Sus scrofa: one gene and its partners. The protein of the gene in region 3 binds, or shares a complex with, the protein of the main gene of each other region. Links are inferred from orthologs where the notes say so. Each region holds a gene or a part of one and is shown on either strand. Other genes may lie near its edges.

The links. Proteins that work in one complex are often made in the same cells at the same time.
Region 1: the proteins of IRF2BP2 (region 3) and ZBTB16 are in contact, whole or in part, in a crystal structure (PDB 8YTH), measured with the Homo sapiens proteins. The link is inferred for Sus scrofa from reciprocal best matches to the Homo sapiens genes IRF2BP2 and ZBTB16. Residues at the interface, in NP_892017.2 of Homo sapiens: Thr516, His517, Phe518, Val519, Gln520, Pro522, Phe531, Leu557, Trp564, Ala565, Phe566, Met567, Glu570, Thr573, Ile574; in NP_001018011.1 of Homo sapiens: Arg285, Ser287, Val288, Ile289, Thr290, Ser291.
Region 2: the proteins of IRF2BP2 (region 3) and IRF2 are in contact, whole or in part, in a crystal structure (PDB 8YTG), measured with the Homo sapiens proteins. The link is inferred for Sus scrofa from reciprocal best matches to the Homo sapiens genes IRF2BP2 and IRF2. Residues at the interface, in NP_892017.2 of Homo sapiens: His517, Phe518, Val519, Gln520, Pro522, Phe531, Leu557, Trp564, Ala565, Phe566, Met567, Glu570, Thr573, Ile574; in NP_002190.2 of Homo sapiens: Arg331, Ala332, Ser333, Val334, Ile335, Lys336.
Region 4: the proteins of IRF2BP2 (region 3) and VGLL4 are in contact, whole or in part, in a crystal structure (PDB 8YTF), measured with the Homo sapiens proteins. The link is inferred for Sus scrofa from reciprocal best matches to the Homo sapiens genes IRF2BP2 and VGLL4. Residues at the interface, in NP_892017.2 of Homo sapiens: Thr516, His517, Phe518, Val519, Gln520, Pro522, Phe531, Leu557, Trp564, Ala565, Phe566, Met567, Glu570, Thr573, Ile574; in NP_055482.2 of Homo sapiens: Arg161, Ser163, Val164, Ile165, Thr166.

The regions. Positions count from the first base shown.
Region 1 is NC_010451.4:41,828,036-41,831,535, reverse strand, and holds part of ZBTB16 (zinc finger and BTB domain-containing protein 16), read right to left. Parts: intron 276-3,500; coding exon 108-275; intron 1-107. UniProt on the Homo sapiens protein: Acts as a transcriptional repressor. Transcriptional repression may be mediated through recruitment of histone deacetylases to target promoters. May play a role in myeloid maturation and in the development and/or maintenance of other differentiated tissues.
Region 2 is NC_010457.5:45,546,279-45,550,241, reverse strand, and holds the end of IRF2 (interferon regulatory factor 2), read left to right. Parts: intron 1-543; coding exon 544-590; intron 591-2,123; coding exon 2,124-2,432; 3' UTR 2,433-3,463; downstream 3,464-3,963. UniProt on the Homo sapiens protein: Specifically binds to the upstream regulatory region of type I IFN and IFN-inducible MHC class I genes (the interferon consensus sequence (ICS)) and represses those genes. Also acts as an activator for several genes including H4 and IL7.
Region 3 is NC_010456.5:56,544,400-56,548,683, reverse strand, and holds the start of IRF2BP2 (interferon regulatory factor 2-binding protein 2), read right to left. Parts: upstream 2,801-4,284; coding exon 1,750-2,800; intron 1,161-1,749; coding exon 445-1,160; 3' UTR 1-444. Other genes in the region: uncharacterized protein LOC110256820, read left to right, coding at 2,799-3,204, 3,266-3,672. UniProt on the Homo sapiens protein: Acts as a transcriptional corepressor in a IRF2-dependent manner; this repression is not mediated by histone deacetylase activities. Represses the NFAT1-dependent transactivation of NFAT-responsive promoters.
Region 4 is NC_010455.5:67,706,207-67,709,706, forward strand, and holds part of VGLL4 (transcription cofactor vestigial-like protein 4), read right to left. Parts: intron 278-3,500; coding exon 55-277; intron 1-54. UniProt on the Homo sapiens protein: May act as a specific coactivator for the mammalian TEFs.

The DNA of each region.
Region 1 (3,500 bases), on a different chromosome or scaffold from region 3:
CTCGTGCTGGCTCAGCCTGGGACCCTCCTCACCCGGGCTTCTCTGGGAACCGTGGCCCTCTCCCACCCAGGTCCCAGAGCTGGCTATGGGCTGCGTGTCCTGGGTACCTGTATGCACTCGATAGTGCGTCTCCAGCTGGTGCTTGAGGCTGAACTTCTTGCCACAGCCATTGCACTCGTAGGGTTTCTCGCCCGTGTGGATGCGCTTGTGGCTCTTGAGTGTGCTCTCATCCCGGAAGCAGCTGCCACAGAACTCACACTCATACGGGTGGTCACCTGTGGGGACAAGAGGCTGAATCAGGCCCTCGCCTTCCCCTGCCCCCTCTTTGGGGGACAGCAGGGCACGCTGAGTGCATGGGCAGGGGGTAAGACTGTCTGTACTCACTACCTCCAAAGACAATGTGGCCCTTGCTGCTGGCCCCTGGCATCAACAGGGAGCACACCTGGCCACATGTGTCCATCCCTGACCTTGGCCCAGTGGCCATCCATGCCTCAAGGGCCAGTCTTGGGCAAGAGTCTGTTTGATTCAGGGATGAACAGAACCCCCAGAAAGCAGACCGTCTGAGGGCAGAACAGACCCAGGGGCTTCAAGACCCTGCCCCCAGCTTTCTTGCCCCTAGGAGGTCAGAGGCAAAAGCCATACCAGCCTGACTCTCCTAGCCTCAAAAAAAACCCCTCCAATGTTCTCATTGTCCCCCAAATGCCTTCTGATCTTTCTCTCCTTCCTCCACAGTCTTATGCAGCTGTTCTTGCTGTGTGATTTCCTCTCCTCTCCTTGGTGAATTCCTACTCGCTCATCAAAGCCCAGCTCCCACCACATCACCACGGTTTGGAACTTTCCTTTTAGCGCCATCCTCTGCTGCCCCAGCCCAGGTAAACTGAGTCACTTTCTCCTCTATTCCCAGACAGAAATGCATTTGGTAGCAGGAGTACAATTTTTACCGCACTTTCTAATTAAAGTGACCCACATTTGTTGAGTGCTTTATACTGTGCTAAGAACTTCACACAGATCATATCATGCAATCATCACAACAACCTTACAAGAAAGACAGTATCCTTCTCATCTTACCCATGAGAGAAGTGAGATGTTTAGAGATGCTTCAACGTGGTCCCTAAGGTCAAAGAGCTAGTAAGCAGCTGAGATGGGATTGTGAGTTGGGTTCCGGAGGCTGGGCACTGGCTGCTTAGCAGAATGGTAACTGACATACTGTACTGTATCTCTGGTCACACTCACTGTGCTTCGAGAATGAAAGCACCACGAGGGCCAGAAGGGAGCCTTGCTCATCCCTGGAGCCTTGACACGAAGCACAGGGGCAACACTGAGCAGACGCCCAGGAAATGTCAGGATTTGAAGCTTGGGGAGAGCTGCCTTTCCCCGGCCCGGCCTCTGCGCCCATCAGCCTCCGTTCCGTGCACTCCACCCTGAAGTCTCCTCCCGGGTTAGAAGCTGGGGTGTGGGGGCTCACCATCTCTCCCTTTGCACCCAAAGTGGGGGCTTTGGAGGGATGAAAGGTGAGGGCTTCAGCTACTTATTTATTACAGGAGTGAAGGCACAGACAATAAAGATAGATTGATCACCCCAGACTTTGTTCATGAATATTTAAATATCGCTGATTCGTCTTGTCACTGTAATTACAATTTCTCTGGGCTGCATCTCCAACAACCACAGTTTATGGTAAAGAATGGCCCACTGTATTTCACTTGTCCCTCTGCAGATGTGCGGGGCTGCCAACCGTGTAATGTCCTCTGCATTTCATACATTTTCTTCAGCTGCTGAAGGTTTAAGTCATCCACAATGACCTACGTTTTTTCATTATCCCCATGTCAAACTGCGCTCGTGCCTGGGCATAAATTGTCCTTCTCGTTATAGACTCGCATGCCTGAGCCTTCACTTCCTCTTTAAAATGATATTTTACTCTCTTCTCTCTCCCGTCCTCAGGCCGCTAACCAAACCTCCCCCTTCTCGAAGGTAGACCCCGGTACCCACATACATTCTCATCCCTTCTGATGTCTCTGAAGGGTTTCTAGGGCTCTGTGGGGAGTGAACGCTGGGGTCCGCTCGCTGGCAGGCTCTCTCATGGGTGGAAGATTTGCACGAAGCTCCCAGGGCGTAGAAGGGTGGGTGGGAGCCCGGGTGGGTGGGAGCCCTCCCGTGGAGGAGTCAGAGGGGAGATGCTGAGCAAAGACGTCTCTTGCTCCACACCAGCTCCCACCATGCTGTGGGGCACCGCGCTGGGCTCAGAAGTGAGCCCCACATGCAGATCTGGTGATGAGGCAGGTCCTTGGTGCCCTCGGTTCCTGGCACCTGCCTGCCCCCGGCTGCAGGGACTATGCAGACGGCCTGGCCCCCCGCCACCAGCCCCATCCAACCACAGGAGAGTAGATGCCATGCAGACCCTGGTCCTCATCAGGTGTGCGTCTAACAGGGACGGGCGGGCAGAGCCTGGGCCCAGACGCCACGCTCTCCGTGTAGACATCTGCCCACACGGCCCCGGCTGACAGCCAGCTCCCCCCTCCTCACCGAATCGGCAACGATTACGACTTTAATCAAGGATTCAGTATCCTCATTAAGATAGAAATAAATAAATAAAGCAAGGGCCACGTGAGACTTCAGCCGGAGCCGGTAATTAAAACGTACATCGGCAGCCCGCTCGGCCCGGAGGTGGAGCCGCCGTCTGTGCCTTTCCCCTCCAGAGGGGGGCCCTCGGAGTTGAAAAAACAAAGGGTTAAGGCAGAGGGGTTTGTTTGATCAGATTTTTATGAATTTAATTATGAAGTGGATCACATGTTAAATGAGTTTAAATAGGAAATCTCTAGAGTCAGCCTAGGGAAAGGAATAAATAGAACCTAGGGGAAAAAAAGGACAAGACACCAACACACACACACACACACACACACACACACGCACAGGGATTTTGAAGCACGGTGAGCACCTGGCCTAAAATCCTCACCCTGAGAGTTAATCGTATCAGTGTTGCCATAATGTACACAAAACTGGCTGCAGAACTCAAAATCCAATTTGTGGTATGTTGATTAACTCTGTAGCCTTTTTAATGAGCTTGACATTAAGTGCAGGACAAACGAGACTAATTAGACCCCCTTCCGGCCTGCCCTGTGCACCTGTGACCCCAGGGATCTGTTCTCACCTGGTGGTTTCCCTGGCATCGCGGAGGCCCTGTGTCACCCTCCCCAACCCAGCCCAGCCCCATCCCGTCGGCCCCTCAGCCCCCCAACCCCTTCAACACAGCTGAGAGTTTATTATATGACGAGCCGTGTGAATCAGGGATCCATCAATGCCAAGAGCGCGGCTGGACTAACCTACCAAACACAGCTGCCGATGCTAAACACCCGGCCCCAGCAGCAAATGGGCCAAGAACGACAGAATATTAATGAGGCATTGTGTGGGGGTGGGCTGGCCTGGGTAAGGCTGGGCGCACAGGGCCCACTGGTGTGAAATCGACGCAGGCAGCACACAGGCTCCATGGTTCCCAGATGAGCCAA
Region 2 (3,963 bases), on a different chromosome or scaffold from region 3:
CAGAGCCACCCTGGAATCTGCCCACCCACAGTAACCCAGCAGGAGGATGCCACTTTATAAATCCAGATGTCCCAGGACTGGAGCAGCAGAGAGGGAAAGGAGGGGCCTGAGCAGAGAGCGTGGCTCATCTGCAAAGACCGGGCTGGGACTGAAACGAGCTACCTGGGAGAGGAGAGTGGTGTGGGGCGGTAAGGACCGGCCAGCCTAGGGCCTGGGGGGCGGAGGCAGATTCACCACAGGGCCCAAACCCCATCCTGGGGAGCAGAGGCCATGACTGCCTGTAGCCTGGCCCAGAGCAGATGAGCTACCCCTCAACCCTCAAACTTTTCTCCAAAGGCCCAAAAGTTAGAGACAGAAAATGCTGTCCCGGCATCTCCTAGGCGCCAGCATTTGCCCTGACAAAGCGGACAGAGGTTAAGGGTATAGTGACCCATTTCTCTGTCCATGAAAGAAGTGCTGATCTAGTTTTTCAAATGCTGCCTGAGCCTCGAGACGGTGTGGAGGGCAGGAATGATGGCCCTGTGTGTTTTTCTCTCTGAACAGAAAGCGAAACTACCGATAGTGTGCCCAGTGATGAAGAGAGCTCAGAGGTAAGTACGGCGACCACACTGACTCCAGCAGATGCTGGGGGGAGGGGGTGCCTGGGGGGGAGTCAGGGGGGCTTCTCAACCAGCACTTTGGGTTCCTAGCTGCTAGTTAGGTTTTTTTCTTTTCGATCAAGAGTTTCCCTTTGGGATTTTTGTTTTTTTTTGGTGGTGGTGGTGGTAAAATATAACATAAGATTTACAGTGCTTTTGGATTTCAAATTATGAAATGAAACTCAGGGGACTGCATGGGAGCGAAAATGTTACCATGCGAAAGGAGGCTGGAGGATGGCAGGAAAAGGCCAGGAAACGTTGATAATCTTACCACCATAAACATCCTGAGGCCCAAGCAGAAATAGAAGGTCCAAGTGGCCAAAGCTCACATCAGGCAGTGCTAAGCAAAAGTAGCACCCCACCCCCACATACCTGGAGTCCCCACCCTCTGTGATCCTGCCCAGAAGCCAGGTGTGTGTTGGTCTGGATTCTGAGTCTCCTCTTCTGATCTCCCTCCTCTCAGCTGGGAAAAGGGCAGGAAATGGCTATAATGGTGATGGAAAGCATTCCTGCAAAGCCTGCTCTGTGTCTGCCTGTGAGGAATGGAGGGGAGAGAGAGAAGTTGAGTAGTGGTTGTTTGGATTAGTGATTTCCCGATGTACTAAATACTTTCAAGTATAGGCCAGGAATTCTGAAAAGACAGTAGTTGCAGGAACCTATGTATATCCGGACCCTGTTTCTTCAAGGTCAGTATTCCAGCTCCTTCTCTGAACAAAGCCATCCTCAAGGCCAGCTACTTGCCTGCACGCTGAAGCCCTAAGCTCCAAGCCATTTGAAAGCAATCTGGGGGCATTCCCTCCCTCTGAAAACCTTGACTCCAAGGTCGGAGGCCAGCTGTGAGGAGCCATCCTCCGTGACACACACCAGTAGTCCAGCTCTGAGCTCCCTAATGATGAGGCCGAGCAGCTAGAGTAGAGGGAACCAGAAACCCAAGTTGCTGCCTTGTTTCCTGCCCTCATAGAACAGTCTTGGCTAGGTTTCTGGGAGGTGGCAGATGGCCTTGATAAAAAGGGAAGAGGCCATGGCCGGGGGTGTACAGAGCTGGGGGAGGGTTTCAGTCCAGGGACCTGGAGACAGTTGCTAAGCTGTTTCTTTGGTCCACGCCCCTTGAGAAATTCAGGCACCGACACCTGGGAAACATGGTGCTTCTTTTTCTCTTTTTCTTTGTTGTCTTTTTTAGGGCTGCCCTTGCGGCATGTGGAGGTTCCCAGGCTAGGGGTCGAATTGGAGCCGCAGCCGCCAGCCTTACACCACAGCCACAGCAACGAAGGATCCAAGCTGCACCTGCGACCTGGACCACAGCTCATGGCAACGCCAGATCTTTAACTCACTGAGCGAGGCCAGGGATCGAACCTGCGTCCTCATGGGTTCTAGTCAGATTCATTTCCGTTGAGCCGCAGTGGGAACACCCATGGTACATTTTTTTAAAAAGCCATACAGAGAAGGCCAGGCAAATAGACGTATCTTGATTCTTGTCCTTGGAAGGGCCGACCTCACTGGCGGAAGAGGAACATTGAAGGCAAGCAGTACCTCAGCAACATGGGGACGCGGACCGCCTACCTGCTGCCCAGCATGGCAACCTTCGTCACTTCCAACAAGCCCGACCTCCAGGTCACTGTCAAAGAGGAGAGCTGTCCGGTGCCTTACAACAGCTCCTGGCCCCCGTTCCCAGACCTCCCCCTCACAGCCCCCGGGACCCCGGCGCCCAGCAGCAGTCGGCCGGACCGGGAGACCCGGGCCAGTGTCATCAAGAAGACATCCGACGTCACCCAGGCCCGCGTCAAGAGCTGTTAAGCCTTTGACTTCCCCTGGTGGTTGTTGGGATTTCTTGGCTTTGTTTTATTGTTTGTTTGTATTTTATTTTTCTCTCTGACATCTGTTTTAGACAAATCTTAAGGGAAAAAGCCTTGACATTAGAACATTGATTGCTGTGTCCAACTCCAGTACTGGAGCTTCTTTTGAACTCAGGACTCCAGCCCCTTGGTAGACGCGTGATCTCTAGAGCCTGCTGGATCTCCCAGGGCTGCTCCCTCAAGTTCAAGAACGTCATAGGACCAACACCCACACGGGCAGTGAGGTGCTGCATTGCCTGCGGTCAAGGCCAGCGTGGTGGCGTGGATGCCTCAGAATGGATGAGAAAATGTGAACTAGCTAGAATTTTTTATTCTTGTGAATATGTACATAGGGCAGTACTAGCGACGTTGCAGTCTGCTTCTGCACCTTATCTTAAAGCACTTACAGACAGACCTTCTTGTGATCTTGCTCTGTTTCACAGCACCGTCAACACCCCCTTCCCTGCCCTCCTCCCCTCCCCTCCCATTTCCTTCCTCCTTTTTTCTCCCTTCAAAGGCTGTGTCCCACATCCCTGAGGAGGAGGAGAAGAAAATGAACTTCTCCGCAGATGTCCCATTTTCAGACTGCTTTAAAAAAAAAAAAAAAAGAAAAAAGAAAATCTTTCTAATCTGCTATGCTTGAATGCCACGCGGTACAAAGAAAAACTATCATGGAGAGATTATTCAAATTCCCAGATTTGAAGACGAAAATACTCTAATTCTAACCAGAGCAAGCTTTTTTATTTTTTATACAGGGGAATATTTTATTCAAGGTAAAATTCTAAAGAAGATATAATTGTTTTTTATCTTTTCTACAGCAAATTTATAATTTTAAGATTCCTTTTCTTGTTTATCGGCAATTGTTATTACATCCTTGTGGCACATTTTTTTTTTAATTTTGTAAAGTTGAAAAAGCTTTTATGAGCTCATGTAGCAATCAAATTATCCTGTGGACTGATAATAAATGAATATGATATATAGTTAAATTTTTAATGGGCATCTTGCCTGGCTTTGTCTGTGGGTACCTGAGCACTATCGTGGGATAGGACTGGCAGAGTGCCCTTTCTTGTGACCAGTAACTGTCCCCCTTTCAAGCCTAGAGGTACTTGATGGGGGCTCCCCCCCTGAGCTGACACTGTGCTGAATGTGCATGATGAATTCACTTCTTCACTCATCGAGTTGTGCTCAGGGTGGGGATGTCTCTCCAGTTCACAGGAGGAAATGGAGACCTAAAAGGAAGATGCCTTGACTCAAGGTCACATAGGTAGTAAGAGTCAAGGACACAAGCTAAGCCCAAAGCTGCTGTGACAATGGAGGGAGTCTTTTTTTTTTTTTTTTTTTTTTTTTTGTCTTTTTAGGGCTGAATCTTCTGCGTATGGAGGTTCCCAGGCTAAGGGTCGAATCGGAGCTGTAACTGCCAGCCTACACCACAGCCACAGCAACGTGAGATCTGAGCCATGTCTGCAACCTACACCACAGCTTACGGCAACGGC
Region 3 (4,284 bases):
GCAATAAGGAATAACAGACGGTAAGGCAATCTTACAATGTCAGAAAATGTATTTGGCTTTTTTTTTTCTTTTTAAAATAAGTGCATACAAATACAGCTAGAAGCAGTTCTGATTTGCCAAGTGCCCTAAAAAAGCAGCGCAAGTCACAGCCTACATTGAAAGGTAACCAGGATAAAGCACAAAGATATGCTAATAACGTTAACAAAAGAAGAAAATGCCTTTATAAGTACATACCTTTTGTCGTCAAAAAAAAAATAGAAACACAATGTATTCAAAAAAAATCAAAATTATACAGCCATGTTTATGAAGTCTACATTTCCCTTGTCTTGGATATATATATATATATGTGTGTATATATATATATATATTTATATATATGGAGATATATACAATTCAAGCAGTTTTAGTTAAGGGTAATCATTGGGTTTTTCTCAAACCGGAAAGTCAAGAGTCTCTCTCTTTTTTCACTTTCACATCTCCAGCAAGGATGGTTGCAATTTCCCCTTGCATGAAGGCCCAGGGGACATTGGAGCCCACAAGAGGGCATTTTTCCCCACTGGGACAATAGACCTCTCCACTAGCTCCCTGCTGTTTGATGCTTTGTCTGGAGCAAGGGAAGCAGAACTTGTGCGAAGGAACGGACGGGCACTGCACAAAGTGGGTGTCCTCCAGCCGCTCGTGGCAGAGGGTGCAGCACAGCGGGGCACTGGCTGCCAGAGAGGAGTCCGGGAGGCTGGCGGGGTGCACTGGCTCCAGTCCTCCTGTGCTGCCTGCCCCCTGGCCCCCTACCTCTCTGGGGCCCAGCCTTCTTTGGTTCATAGAGGACGGAGACGGTGGACTGCTGCTGTTCCTCCTCGTGGTGGAGTGCACCTGATTGGCATCTTTAGAGGCATGACTGCCTCCAGCATTGTCTGCAACTAAGATCAGGGCTGCCATGGGGGACTGGCCGTTCTGGGCCGCTTCAGGCGGTGTGGTCCGGTTGGAATGAGGTGAGGCAGTGGGTGGTGGTGGAGACACAAAAGAGGATGTAGGCGTAATGGGGATCTTGAGCCCTTCAGTGGATGTGGACAGCCAGGGCTGTGCCTCTCCATTGATCTTAGGGGGCCCGACTTCACCTTCTGGTTCTGGTGAAGGCTTCCTTTTCCTTGCAGTTCTTGCAACTGGAAAAAGAGAAATAAAAGGGAAAAGAGAAAATAAATAAAGGTGCACCGGAAAGGCCTTTTACTAACATGAAACAAAATTCGCTAAAGCATTTTTATTCTCTGAAAGCTGGTAGATAAAAACTCACGTGAGCTTTCAAGAGCACGTGTAACTTAAAACACTTAACTTACAGGGCTGAGGCAGTATGCCACTCAAAAACACAAAAGCCACAGAAAACGATTCCTACACAACGGCCTATTCTGACACACGCAAGCATGTAGCCCGGCTAAACCGGGCATACGACTGCTAACGTCCCCCAGCAGGTTAAAAGGTGACTGGTGCTCTCCTGCTCTCCTCCAAGAATGTGCTGGGAAAGGAAAACCCGGTGTCAGTGCCTATCAGCCCGGTCTGACTCATCTCTGTTGTGCTACTTCAGCACAGGAACACGTTGCCACTAAGCACTGGTTCCGCCTCGGGCAAATCAGGAAGTTGGGTGTTTGTTGTTTCTGGGCCGGCCGGGGGAGAAATGGTGAATGGGAAGGGCACCCCCTCCTCTGCTCTCCGTCCCCTCTTCGCCCCGAGATCACCTCACTCCACAGCCGCCCCTACCTGCTTTAGACCCGTTGGCCCCGTTGGCCTCGAAACCCAACAACCTGCCTGCAGTCAGGGCCGGCTCCTTCTTAAACTTGCTCTCGAAGGGCCCCGAGTGGCCGTGCTGGTGCAGCGCCAGCAGCGTGTCTCGAACCGTCTTGGGCCTGTTGACCCAGTCCTGATCGCCGGGCCCGCGGCCCTTGCCCGCGCCCTCCGTGCCCAGCTCGGCCGCCCCGGCCGCGGTGGTCAAGCTGTCTGCCGGGCCGCGGTGCGAGGTCGGCGGCGGCTGCTTCTCCTTGGCTGCCGCCTCGCGCTGCTCGTGCTCCGCCGACGCGCTGCTCGTCACGGACGCCGGCCGCTTGTGGGCGCCCAGTTCGGCCGGCTGCGCCGAGCCCAGCCCGGCAGCCGCGGCCCCGGACACGGCGGCCAGTGAGGCGGCGGCGCGACCGCCCAGGCCAAGAGCGGCGGGCAGCGGCGTGGTCGAGCCGTTCATGAGCGGCACCAGGGTGGGAGGCACGGCGTGGCCGCGCCGCGGGTTAGGGCTCTGGCGGTTCAGCTCCGGCGGCTCCTCCAGCTTGGAGAAGCCGTTGGGCACCAGGATGCCGTTCACGGGCGGCGGCTGCGGCGTTGGCGGCTGGGCCAGACCGGCCGCCGGGCGGCTACCGCTGAAATCGGAGCCGAGGCGCGGGGGCCGCTCGGCTGCGGCGGCTGCCAGAGGGTAGCGCTCCAGGGCCTGCGGGGCGCGCGCGGTGGCCTCGGGGCCGCCGTGGCCGAGCTGCTGCTGCTGCTGCAGGAGAAGGTCCTTGGCGGAGAGCGGCGGCGGCTTAGCGGCGGCCGGAGCCGCGGCGCCGGGCGGGGAGCGGCCCTCCGGGAAGCAGCCGTGCGCCCGCTTGAGCTGCCGCGCCGTCTCGATGACGAACTCGACGCGGTCGGCGCCCTCGTAGTTGACGCAGCCGCGGCACACGGGCTCCGTGAAGTCCCAGATCATGGCCCAGGGCATGCGGGGCAGGTCACACAGGTAGCACGACTGCCGCCGGGACGCGGCCGCCACCGCCACCGCCGCGGCCATGTCCGAGGAGCCCGCGGCGCCGGAGGAGGAGGAGGGGGCGCCGCCGCTCCCCGCCGGCACCACGCGCGCCCTCCTCCCCCCCCAACCCCGCGTCTCCCCCACCAGCGGCGGCGGCGGCCGCAAAGGCGGCGGCGGCGGCAAAGCCCGCGAAGGATCGGCGCCCGCGCAGCGCCCCCGGTGCACGAGGGGCGGCGGGCGCGGGGCGAGGGGTTGCAGCCGCGGCAGCACGTCCCCCCGGCCGGCGCGGGCGCGGGTGGGCGGCGGGGCGGCGCGGCGCGGCGGGCGCGGCGGCGGCGGCGGCGGCGGGGGCTCGGCCGGGGCCGCGGCGGGCCTCCAGACCGGGGCGAAGACGGGCCGCGCGGGCGCGGGGGAGCGCAGCAGGTCGCGGCGGCGGCCGGCGCGGAGTGCGGGGCGGGGGGCGGGGAGGCCGGGGGGGCGGGGGGCGGGGGGCGGCCGCCGGGGCAGGCTCAGCCCGAGCGGCGGGGCATGCCGCGCCGGGGCGGCGGCGGCGGCGGCCGTGCGGCGTGGAGCTCGGGCGCGGCACGGGCCCGGGTCGCTCCGCTGCTCTCTCACAGCTCCTGGCGTCGCCGCTCTCCAGCGCCCGCCTCAGCGCCCAGCCCGCCTCAGCTCCGCCGCCGCCGTCGCTGCTGCTGCTGCCGCCGCGGCCGCTCCACTTCTACAGACTTGATTCTTCGACAGCCTCGCAAGGCGCCTGCGCGGGCCCCCTCCCCTCGCGCGCGCGCGCCCGCCCTCCCCCGCTCCCTCCCCCTCCCCCCGCCAGAGAACGAGCGCTGCCGGGAGAGCCGGCTCCGCGGCGCCCGCCCGCGGGTCAGCACCACCCGCCTGCGCCGCGGCTCGTGTCCCCGACGTGAAGCCGTCGCTGGTGTGGCTTGCTTTCCTCCACCCGCTCGGCTCCCTCGACTGCTCAGGCAGTTCCTTCTCGTCTAGGGCTGTTTGAGCCAAACCGTGCTAGAACTCATGTTTTGAAAAGCCAGGCCACTCTGTAACCTGGTTCTGTTAGTAGCATCTTGAGGATGGGGATTTTCAGTCAAGTGCTGTTCACAGTTTTGTAAGGAGCTTTATTTGAACTCCTCGGTGAGTGCTTTTACACCCGCATGTCTTGGGAAGGACACACGCGCCGCCGGTCCCCTAAACTTTTACAACAGGAGGGTGCGCGCCCAAGCCTAGGGCCGCGTCCACCCGCCCTTCTACGGAGCCCTTCCGGGAGCGAGCGGGTACGCTGCCCGAGGAGGTTCCGATCCCCCTCTTCCCCAGTCCGCAGCCCGCCGGGCCACGCGGGGATCCCGGTCGCCTGCTGCAGGCCCGCGCGGCGGGCGCGTGACGTGGGCGCGGGGCCGCGTGCGCCGCCACCGAGTGCGCACGCTCCGCGCGGACGTGACTCGGCGCCGCTGGCACTGGCGGCCCCATTGAACGAATGCACATTCCAGGGATCCGGGGTCAGCGGCCAACGCGGCCGCGTCACC
Region 4 (3,500 bases), on a different chromosome or scaffold from region 3:
GGCGCCTGGACCCACTACCAGCCACCAGCCGAGCGCCACAGAACAAAGACATACCTGCTGCCGCTCCACTGGGGTCAGGGTGGGTGAGATGCCGGCTGGCCTGCTGGTGTCTAGGCTGTTCTTGGTCAGTGCGAGGGGCTGCTCCATGCTGAGGCTGGGGAGGGACGTGTACAGGTGGCTGCCGTGCAGGCTCATGGTGGGGGCCGCGGCGCGCTCGATGGGGCTGCGGCTCCGCTCCCGGGGGTCTTTCCGGCAGTCTCCATTGGCAGTCTTGCTCCTGAAAAGAGGAGTGAGCGCTCAGGTGGGAACCTGAAGCTTCCATGGGCGAAGGGGCCTTCGACCACAGCCAGGCGCTCTCACCCATCCCATCGCCCCCCACCTTGCTGTGGAGAAGTCCCACACCACTATCGCCCCGTTTTCTGAGGTGTGGGTCAAACAGCTAGTTGGTATTGAAGAGCCAGGATGCTCGCCCAGGTTGGCGCTGGGTGAAGAACCTTCCCAGGCCCGAATCGGCTCCAGGGGGCCATCCAGACGAAGGCAGCGGCCCATCAGAGTGCTTCTACAACTCCCTGGCTAACAGCCCTGAGACCTCACCTGTGTGCTTGAGGCTGGCTTGGTTTGACAAGAACCTGCCATTACCAAGGATGAAGGCGGTGATGATGCCAAAGCAGCCGATGCCTCCCACACGCCGGCTCCTGCTCCAGGCCTCACCAGCCTCAGCGCATGAGGTCTCCCCAACAGCACTGGGAAGACCCCATAACCACCCCTCCCCAGAGGAGCCACCCTGCAGATGGAGCACGTGCCTGTCAGGTGGCAGGGGCTTGGGGGTGAGGCCCTCGCAAGCCTCAGCGGCTCTTAGAGGCCACAGACGGGGGTGTCCTGGTCAAAAGAGCTGCCTCGGAGGGTCTCAGTGGGGAGGGGCCATTATACAAACATAAAGGACTGCACTGGTACAGGGCAGGGGATCTGTGAGCATTAGCGGAACCAAATCTGCCGCAAACATAGTTCATCAGCTACAGAGGAACTAACTGCAAAGGCACAGCATTTCTTCCCTTTACTCTCCGGTCTGCTCTGCAGGAGGACTTGGAGGCAATTACATGGTACACGGCCAGCCACTGGGACCACCATGGAGCGGGTTCTGGTCAGAGTCCAGAAGAAGCACTCCACACAAGCCACAGGCCTTCCCATGATGATTCAGAAGGCGTCACAGGCCTTGACGGCAGAGTCTCCGCGGCTGTGATCTCGAGCGCCGATTTCCCGCAGAACCTCACAGAAGTGCCATGCCCGCCTGAGGGGTTTCAGGCCTATGGGAGAGGGCCTGGCGTTTACCGGACGGATGTTTATGACTAAGTATCTGAATTCTCAGAGTGTGAAAGACCCCACCGTTACAGACTCACTTTCAGTATCAGCTTTCTTTCTAAATTGGAGTAAAATAAAATGCAATGTATGACAAACTATGTAAATTGTGCTTCCCTGACACAGTCTCCCCTCCCTCCCCCAAAAAGTGAGGTTTTGGGGCCCAAGCAGGCTTAGGGACAGAGGTGCGAGCTTTGTTGTCAGTCTACCTCCGCCCAGTCCCGACTCCACGATATTCACCCAGTGTCCACCCAGCCCATCCCGCGGGTCCCAGGGAGGAACACATGGCACTGCTTTCTCCTAGACCCGTGATCTGGGGAGGACAGGAAGGCCGGGGCTGGGGCATCAGGCTCCCACGTGGCGACGGAAGCATGGCAGAGTCAGCGCCGGAGGTGTGTCACCTGTGCTCACAGCCACACCCAGTGGCCCTGAGGACGGGACTCGGGGGAGCAGGCCACCACAGGCAGGACACGGTGGGCATCGCGCAGCAGAAAAGACACTGAAACACACAGCAAACGTCTGAAGAGCCCGCTGGTTAATTTTAGTAAAATTATACATGACTCACATTTCCAGCTCACTTGCTGGAGCTTCAAGACAGACACTGTTTTCCACCCCCGGTGAATCATAGCCCAGCCTCCTTGCTTCCCGGGCGTCGTGCTCATGGACCCAAACCACACTCTTCCTGCCCGAGAGGCCCCAACGTCGCCTCCGTTCTCAGAGTGGGAGTCTGCTCGTGAGGAGCCAAGTGCAGCCCCTTTGGAGCCCAAAGGGCTCAGGGGCAGCCAGATGCTGAGAACCCGCCAGTGACCAGGGCTCGGGGACTGTTCCAAGTCCCAGGGACCCTTTCCTGTCCTGGGGAGGGGATCCCCTCAGCCAACCGTTTCAGGAAGGTGAACAGGGAAGGGGCCACAAAGTAAAAAGGTGATGCTTTCCTGCAGGACAAAGTGCTCTGGAGAAATGGATGCCACGTGCTGCCACTCCACCCCGTGAGGTGTGAAGCTGGGGGAGGTTCACTCGACTCCGGGCAACGAAAGTGTGAGGAGTCCATCACGTGAGAAAAGTGCACCACAGCCTCTTGAACTCATTCACATGAGACGCTCTGCCCTTTGACCTACTGGAGCTCAGAGCTGAAGGAAACCCCCAGGAAAGTCTTTCTTGACGTTCTCGGGCCTGAACTGAATTCCTTCACTGCCGACCCATCCTCATCCCGGGGACCCTTCCTCATCCGGCCATTAATTAACCAAACCAACCTGAGTCTGAACTCTTAGGACAAGGGAGGGGAAGTGGATCTAAGGCACTTCCGTCAATCCTTTGGAGGATATGCTCTGGGGCCCTGGGGGTCCCCATGCTGCAGACCCTTCGGCCCAGGTAAGACAAGGCCCAGTCCAGCCCTTGCCCCCTGGCTTCCCCACCCTGGGGCCCAGGCTCTGGTAACAACTAAACATGCCTGAGGTGACAGGATGACTGCGTGGGGTGCAGGACATTCTTGGCAGGAGTGGACTGACACTGTGGCAACACCCACTATGCACAGGGGTGGAGTTTAGATGGAGTTCAAAGCAGGAAGAAACTGGGAACAGGGCGAGGCCAGGAGGGAGCAGAGCCCATGAGGGTCGCAGGACAGGGCCTGTCTCCAACTCAACCCCCTTCCCTCTGCCCTTCATCCCTCACAGAACATCCACCCTCTGTGAACCTGTGGGCCGGTACTAAACCTTCACAGCCCAACTAGTAATAATCAAATTGTTAAAGCATCTTTAATTTTTAAAGCTTCCTCAGAGAAGAGACTTAATGCTACCGGACCTTACACTTAACAATGCCTAAAATGGCACTATGTATGTATCACAATTAAGTAACAATCAGAGTTCCTGTTGTGGCTCAGCAGTTAGTGAACTCGACTAGCATCCATGAGGACACAAGATCGATCCCTGGCCTCTCTCAGTGGGTTAAGGATCCAGTGTTGCCATGGCTGTGGCATAGGCTGGTGACTACAGCTCTGACTGGACCCCTAGCTTGGGAACCTCCAAATGCCATGGGTGTGGGTCTAGAAAGACAAAAAGACCAAAAAATAAAAAATTAAATTAAATTAAAATAAAATTTTAAAATAATAATTTTAAAAATTAAAGAGTTACTGTTGTGTCTCAGCGGGT